Linked DNA regions of Caenorhabditis elegans. The protein of the gene in region 1 purifies or fractionates together with the protein of each later gene. This does not show direct contact. Each region holds a gene or a part of one and is shown in the gene's direction. Other genes may lie near its edges. The genes, in order: nhr-18 and R119.3.

Region 1 (3,922 bases):
AAGTGTAAAACAACACTTGAGATACCTATGTCGCTTTCGAATTTCAATGCAACTAATTTTGGTCTCCCATATTCAGATGCCCGCACCTTTATTCCTCTCGGGTCCCTGTGAGATTTGTGGTCAAAAAACTTCTGGAAGACACTTTGGAGTGTTGAGTTGTAGGTCTTGTGCAGCTTTTTTCAGGTTATCAGATTTTCAGGATTTTTTCAAAACTCTGCCATTTCAGGAGATCAGCAACATGGAGCCGGAAAAAAGTACAATGCGTGAAAGGGACCTGTAAAATTTTTGAGGATGGAAAGTGAGGCTAGATTTTGGAAATTGAAAGAAAAAGTTGCTTTTTGCAGATTCAATTGCAAACAGTGTCGACTTAAAAAGTGCGTAGAAGTCGGCATGGACTCTAAAAGTAAGCTAGCAAGTTCCCAAACAGTAAAAAAATACACCAAAAAATTTCAGAATTCCAAACAAATCGGGACTTGATATCTTCCTGCTCAGTTCCTCAGTCCCTTTGCAATTTTCTAGGACGCCCCGAGTTCATTTTGTGCTGCGAGCCAGACAAAGCTTCAGTTTTCAAAACTACAATAGATGTTACGTATTTAGTAGATATGGCAAAGAATCTGCTCGAAAAGGTAGGCAAAAACGAGAAAACATGTGAAATTAAAGGTGAGTGTGTAGCGTCCGACATCTAGCGGTCTAGCGGTCGTTTCTGAAAAAAATGGGGGTGGGGCACCTGTGTCACACGTCGCCCGGGCATTTTTCTATATATTCAGGATCCATGTCAATGCCCTTTGTCTAACAGCCTTGAACAACTTTCTACTACACTTGAAAATATGCGAGGAATGAAGTTGAACAAAGAAACACAAATTATCAAGAAGCTTGGAAAGAACGAATCTCTCAAAACCTGGGAACAAGGGTTTCTCCGAGCGGTGGAGTGGTTCTCCAATTTTTCAGAATTTCGGGAACTGGATGAGAACTTAAAGGTTCTTAACTTTTAGCATATAAGGTTACTAACTTTTTTGTATTTTTTTTCAGATGGAAATTTTAAAAACTTGCTGGGTCTCATGGATCCGGTTGGATAAGCTATCGGAAACTGCTAACAAACGGGTGAACGCAACTCTCGACAACTCGCTTTTGATGGTTGGAAATGATTCTTGCATGCATATGAATGATTATGAAGTTGATTTATCATGGTGTACGAATTATTCGTTGGAGCAATTGGCCTTGTGAGTTCTGAGCGACATCTACCGGGTTCCAAAACACTAACCCGTTAAATGTCGGGCTATGCGTATCACTCACAAATCTTAAAATCGGATTTTCAGTTTTTTCCTCACCCCGGACGACGAGAAGAACTACCGTCAGTTGATACAAGATATGGTTGATCTCAACCCAAGTAGCACTGAAATCAGCTACATGCTCCTGCAGCTTTCTCTGGAGCACGCGGGAAAAAGATTGCAGGGAGATATACTGGAGGCTACTGAAAGTTTAGTTCAAGCCCAGGCAAATCAATTGCATGATTATTACGCGAAGAAATTGAAGTTGTCAAATTACTCGTCAAGATTGACACAATTGATGAAGATAACTAGGACTTTGGAGGCAGACATGAGACTTCGAATTGAAAAGAAGAAAGTTGCAGATGTTTTTAATATTTTCAAAATTCAGTTTTCCCATCCAGAAATGTTTGAAACGACTTAAGATCCTCTGCATAAAAATTGAAAGCTAACCGTTTTTTTGTTAATTTTTTACTTTATCAACGAAAGTGTACTCATATGTATAATATAACACTTTGAATATTTAATGTAATTATTTGAATTTCAGCGCAAAAAAAATTATTTTCTTTCGAAATATTATTCAGATGCCCGCACCGTTATTCCTCTCGGGATCCTGTGAAGTTTGCGGGGACAAAACTTCCGGAAGACACTTTGGAGTAATGAGTTGTCGGGCTTGTGCCGCATTTTTCAGGTTTGCAGCTTTTGTAAAATAATTATTTAAGAACAAAATTTACAGAAGAGCAGCAACATGGAACCTAGAAAAGAGGATATGCCCAAACGGAACCTGTCATACTAGCGTTAATGGAAAGTAAGGAAATTTTTTTTCAAGTTTTACAGCAAATTTTAAAAATTAATAATTTGCAGATTCAACTGCAAACAATGCCGACTAAAAAAGTGTTTAGATGTAGGCATGGATACTAGAAGTGAGTCAAAAGTTCAATGTTTAAAAATCACTATACGTTTGATTTCAGGATTCCAGACAGATCGAGACCTTATTTCGTGTTCTGCTATTTCTCAGTCTTTGGCCACATTTCTCGGTCGACCCGAGTTCATTTTGTGCTGCGAGCCAGACAGAGCATCAGTGTTGAAGACAACAATAGACGTTACTCGTTTAGTGAATATCGCAAGGGACATGTTGCAGAAGGTATGCAAAAATCAGAAAATAGCAGGTGGTGCAGAGGAGCTGGAATGGTTCAGACGGTAGTGGTCGCAGCTAGCAATCTTGAGGTCACGATTTCAAGCCCCCCGTATCCATGGTCAGACTTTCGGCGAGGCATGAAAAGTGTACACCGCGCAGTACACCTTGTGTACTGCAGCTGACGCTGCAGAGTCCGGCGCGGTATTATAATAGTTATGCGCATGGGAAAGGCTATGGCGTGGGGCGAGCGCCCTCGTGAAAGGCCTACTGTACCCAACTCCCGCTCTGCATATAATTTTTTTGAAAAGAATTCAAGGTAGCGTTTCAGCCAACAAACCATGTTTTGCCCTCAAACAGTCTTGAACAACTGGCCACAACGCTCGACAACATGCGATGTGTCGAATCGAACAAGGAAGTAAAATTTATCGAAAAATATGGAAAAGTAGAAACTTTGAAATCTTGGGAACAGGGATTTCTTCGAGTTGTGGAATGGTTTTCCAATTTTTCAGAATTCAGAGAATTGAATGAACGTTTGAAGGTGAGTTCTATAATAGAATTTTATTTTTACTGTCTAAAGTTAATTAAAAGAAAATTGTATTCAGTTGGAAATTGTAAAGTCATGTTGGTTCTCCTGGACACGGTTGGATAAGCTATCGGAAACGGCTAACAAGCAGATTAACAAAATGCTCGGTAAATCGCAGTTGATGGTCGGTAATGGTGCATGTATGAATATGAACAACTTCGAGATTGATTTATCTTGGTGCACGAATTATTCGTTGGAGCAGCTGAAATAGTGAGTGTTGCCTTGTTGTTGCGTTGAGTCCTAATAGATGTTTCCAGCTTTTTTCAAACACCGAATGGTAAGAAAAACTTCCAACAGTCGATACAGGATATGATCGATTTGAATCCCAGCAGCATTGAAGTCAGTTACATGCTCCTACATCTTTCTCTGGAGCACGCAGGAAAACGATTACATGGAGATGCACTGGATGCTACTGAAAATTTAGTGCAAGTTCAGGCAAACAACTTGCATAAATATTATGTGGAGAAATTGAAGTTGGCAAATTATTCGTCACGACTGACGCAGTTGATGAGAATCACAAGGACGTTGGAGGCAGATATAAGGATTCGAATTGAGAAGAAACAAATTGCCGACGTGTTTAATATTATGAAAATTGATTTTTCTCACCCAGAGATGTTTGAAGCGACATAAAAAGTTTACATAACCTCAAATTCTCAATGTTATGTATTTATGGTCGTTTATGTACCATTTTATATATCTGAATTGGATTTTTAGCCAATTACTGCCCTATATATATTCCAGATGCCCGCATCTTTATTCCTTTCGGGACCCTGCAAAATTTGCGGTCAGAACACTTCTGGCAAACATTTTGGTGTGCTGAGTTGTCGAGCATGTGCGGCATTTTTCAGGTTTTCTTGTTACTGTTTCAATTTTTCTGAAAAAAGTTTTAAATTCAGAAGAGCTGCACTTTGGAGCCCAAAAAAGGCCCATTGTCCC
Region 2 (3,922 bases), on another chromosome or scaffold:
GTGCTTGATTGAAATAGATCAAATATTGATATGTTTTTTTCAGGTGGAGGCACCGGTTTCGTCGATCGAGGAGGCCGCGGGCGATCCAATGGAGCTCCAAGAGAAAGCCGAGATAATAATCGGGATAACCGTGATAATAAGGAAGGAGCAGCACCACGCTCGACTCGAGGAGGATTTGAAAAACCGTATGTTGGACGAGGTGGAAGAGGTGGCGCCAGAGGTGGATATTCTCGAGCTGTTGCTCCATCATCAGCACTTGAGCCAGATGCGTTCACTGCTGATCTTGATGAGGTAAGAATTTTTTGAAGAAGGAAAATGACGAAACGTGTTTTTTTTTCAGAATCAGACTAAAGTGGATACCACAGTCACCGAAGTTCAACCACCAGTAGAGGAATCCGTCACCGCCACTGTTCCCACATCTTCTGCGCCGGCACCGATCTCATTTGCTGCAGTAGCAGCAGCTGCCCATCGCAAAGAAGCACTCCGAAAGCACCAGGCACAGAATCCTCAACCAGCAGCTCCGCCAAGGAGGAGTCTCTCCCCACAACCTCCACTTCCGTCAGTTGCACCAGTTAAAGAAGAGCCAGCAGCAGCGCCAGTATTTTTCGAGCCAGAAACTTCGCATCAGCCGGAGAAAGAAGATGGTTTCTTCCAAAAGTAAGTTGTTCTGTCCCTGTATTTAGATTATTAAAAATTTAATTTTCAGTGAATCATCAGTTTTGGCTGAGGAGCAGACGCCTAATGTGTCGACTCATCACGATGAAAATGTACAAAGCACCCCAGAACCAAATCAAGCATGGACCACTCAACTGAAGACGGATCTTGGAATAGGATTGAGTGAAGCACCAGGACTAGGATTATCTCCAATTCCAAGTGCAGCACCAGTCCAGATTATTCCTGATCCTGGAGTGGAATTTGTTGGCACAACTGCACCAACGAACATTCATGACTACTCATTTGGATTTGTTGAGGCTGCTCCAAGCCCACAGCTTCCTTCTACTGAATCCTCCGCTGCCTCGATCTCAAATGCCAGTGAAAATATATTTAACTCTTCTCGTATTATGCCGAAACAAGTTGAGGTGAGTTAAATTTGTTGCAAAGACGATTTATTCTAATTCTCGATTATTTTTCAGCCAGAAAGGACGTCAATTCCTAACGGCGATTACAACTTAAAATCGACTTCACCTCCATTGTCATATGGTCAATCTAACAGAGGATTGTCCTATGACACTTCGTCCGCTTCATATCAACCAACGGACAGGATGGCGCCGAACAAGTTCAACAATTCTGGACCACTTCCAACACAGCAATCTGCTCAGCAGCACCAGCCACAGCAGCAGCAGCAACAAGCCCCACAACAGCCAGTGCAGCAGCAGCAACAAACTCCACCAGCTCAATCACAACCGACTGGACATCCACAACAGCATCCACATATGATGTTCACTCAACAACTCCCATATGCACCATACATGAACAACTACATGAACATGTACAATCCAATGCCAGGAGTTCGAGATGAGCAATATACTGCTGCTCTTATGCAATACGGAATGGGAGTTGATCTTACAAGCTTGCTTCCAACTGCTCCTCTGTCACAGGCTGCTTCTGCGCAACAAGTGCAATCTGGTCAACAACGAGAGACTCATGGACTTATGGACTTCAATAAGTTCGGATCTCAAAGCTCTCGGGATCAGCAGCCACAGCAGGCGTCGAATGTTGGACCACCACCAGGGTTCCAGGCGACGAACTACATGCAGCAGCCAAACTTGTCGTCGTTGTTCATGCAGCAGTACTCACCTGCTCCACACCAGTTTACTCCATTCATGAACATGATGCCCAATGTTGGAAGCAGCGCTGGAGGTCGTCAACTCTACGGACAGGATGACGAGCGCAAGAGTTACGACAAGATGTCTGGATCGAAGCCGGCAGCTCAGCAGAATCAACATTCTCAATACCAACACAATGGTGGAAATCTTGGAAAATATGGCATGAATAAGCCGTACAACTGGAGTAACTAACCGGTTTTCGAAAGTTCTCAGTCAGCGACTTTGCTCCCCCTCCCTCTCCCCTCTAAATAATAAAATGATCTGTTTTATTTTCACATGTTCTTTATTTTCTACGGATTTCCAAATAAATGTACCTGATGTCTAGGTGTATCTATAAATATGCCTCCTCATCGGGCTTTCAGCGTAATGTCATGTGCACTTGTAATCGGGGCAACGTCCACACTGGGTAAAGCCGTCGTGAGAAGACTCGCGTTCACCGGCTACAAGGTCGCCGCCGCCGCAGACTGTCCGAATAGTGTGGGAAAGGTTGCAGAGGACAATATAAAGGTTTAGGCAGATTTTCAGAACTTGACAAAGAGAAATTCGGGAATAAATTCAGGTTGGAGGTGACGTCACAGCTTTCTCATTAGACGTGGCAAATGCCGAGCACAGGAAGGAGCTGATCACGAAAGTGGCTGAGAAGCTCGGCGGTCTGGACACTTTAATTATAGTTCCACCACAGAATGAGGTGCTCGGCGAGATTATTGAGACATCCGGCGAGGATTTTGATAAGGTTCGAGAGTGCTGAAATTTGAATTCCACGTGGAAAATTGACCTCGAAAAACCAATTTCAGCTTTTCGCCAACAATCTGACAACACCGTTCCGTCTTTCGCAAGCCGCTATGTCGACGCTCGCCAAATCTCAGTCAGTTTTTGGGTCTCGCCGCGAAAATTTCAGATATTATTTTTTGCTGGTAGAAATTCGAAAAATTCAAACTGTCTTGAAAGCCTATTTTACCGATAGAATCAAAATTATGTTTCTAGATTTTCGTGCCTGACTCATGCCTGCCTACCTAAACCACGAAAAAAGGGAAAAATAGGTAGATAGGCAAGTAGGCATGAAATCGTGCCTACCCTAGAGATCATGCAACTTGAAAAAATTGTAGTAAAACAAAAAAAGGATTTTCAAGAATGTTAATTTTTTGCTCACAAAAATGCCGAGAATAGGCGGTAGGTAGGTAGGCACGTAGGCATGAAGTCGGTGCCTACCCTAGAAATCACAAAATTTGGAAAAAAAATTCAGAAAACAAAAATAATAGTGTTTTCATAAATATGATTTTTTGCACGAGAAAAAATGCCGAAAATAGGAGGTAGGTAGGTAGGTACGGTAGGCATGGAGTCGTGCCTACCCAAAAAAATCGTAGAAAACAGGAGAAAAAGCTAATTTGATCTCTTTTTGCTCACAAAAAATGCCGAAAATAGGCGGTAGGTAGGTAGGCACAGTAGGTGGGAAGTCGTGCCTATCCGAAAAATCTTGAAATTTGGAAAAAATCGTAGAAAAACGAAAAGAAAAAAGCTAATTTGATTTTGTTTTGCACACAAAAAATGCCAAAAATAGGCGGTAGGCAGATAGGCGCGGTCTGCATTAAAAATCATTGAATTTTGAAAAAAAAAGCATTCCCATGAATTTTAATTTTTCACACAAAAAAATTTCAAAAAAACAGGCGGTAGGCAGGCATGTATTCGTGCCTACCTGCCTACCTAGAAATCATGGAATTCTAAAAAAATATCAAATGTTAGGCCGGTAGATAGGCACGTAGGCATGAAGTCGTGCCTACCCTAGAAATCATGAAATTCCCAAAAAACGGCAAAAAAATAGAACAACAAAAAAAAAATGAAAAATAGGCTAAAATAGGCCGGCAGGTAGGCACGTAGGCAGGCAAAATTTCCCGTCCAAAAAAAATCGATTTTTTCCAGAAACGGCAGTATCATCTACCTAACGTCATGTTTCGGCTTCACTCCATCAATCGATATGGGTCTCTACTCAGTTGCATCTAGCAGTGTCCTATCACTTACAAAATCCGTAGCTCAGAGTGCCGCGAAACAAGGAGTCCGCGTGAATAGTGTGGTGTCTGGAATGATTGAAGGAGACGGAA

What was found.
Region 2: the proteins of nhr-18 (region 1) and R119.3 fractionate together in Caenorhabditis elegans (co-fractionation; one large-scale study listed by BioGRID). This does not show direct contact.

The regions. Positions count from the first base shown.
Region 1 is NC_003283.11:2,225,354-2,229,275, forward strand, and holds nhr-18 (Nuclear hormone receptor family member nhr-18), read left to right. Parts: upstream 1-1,849; coding exon 1,850-1,956; intron 1,957-2,001; coding exon 2,002-2,073; intron 2,074-2,129; coding exon 2,130-2,188; intron 2,189-2,236; coding exon 2,237-2,409; intron 2,410-2,731; coding exon 2,732-2,941; intron 2,942-3,005; coding exon 3,006-3,196; intron 3,197-3,243; coding exon 3,244-3,616; 3' UTR 3,617-3,624; downstream 3,625-3,922. Other genes in the region: Nuclear hormone receptor family member nhr-103, read left to right, coding at 77-183, 227-298, 345-403, 454-626, 768-977, 1,030-1,220, 1,317-1,689; nhr-126 (Nuclear Hormone Receptor family), read left to right, coding at 3,728-3,834, 3,883-3,922. UniProt on the Caenorhabditis elegans protein: Orphan nuclear receptor.
Region 2 is NC_003279.8:377,340-381,261, reverse strand, and holds the start of R119.3 (DeHydrogenases, Short chain), read left to right. Parts: upstream 1-2,188; 5' UTR 2,189-2,192; coding exon 2,193-2,333; intron 2,334-2,385; coding exon 2,386-2,559; intron 2,560-2,620; coding exon 2,621-2,691; intron 2,692-3,743; coding exon 3,744-3,922. Other genes in the region: Prion-like (glutamine/asparagine-rich) domain bearing protein pqn-59, read left to right, coding at 44-291, 341-657, 707-1,079, 1,134-2,018.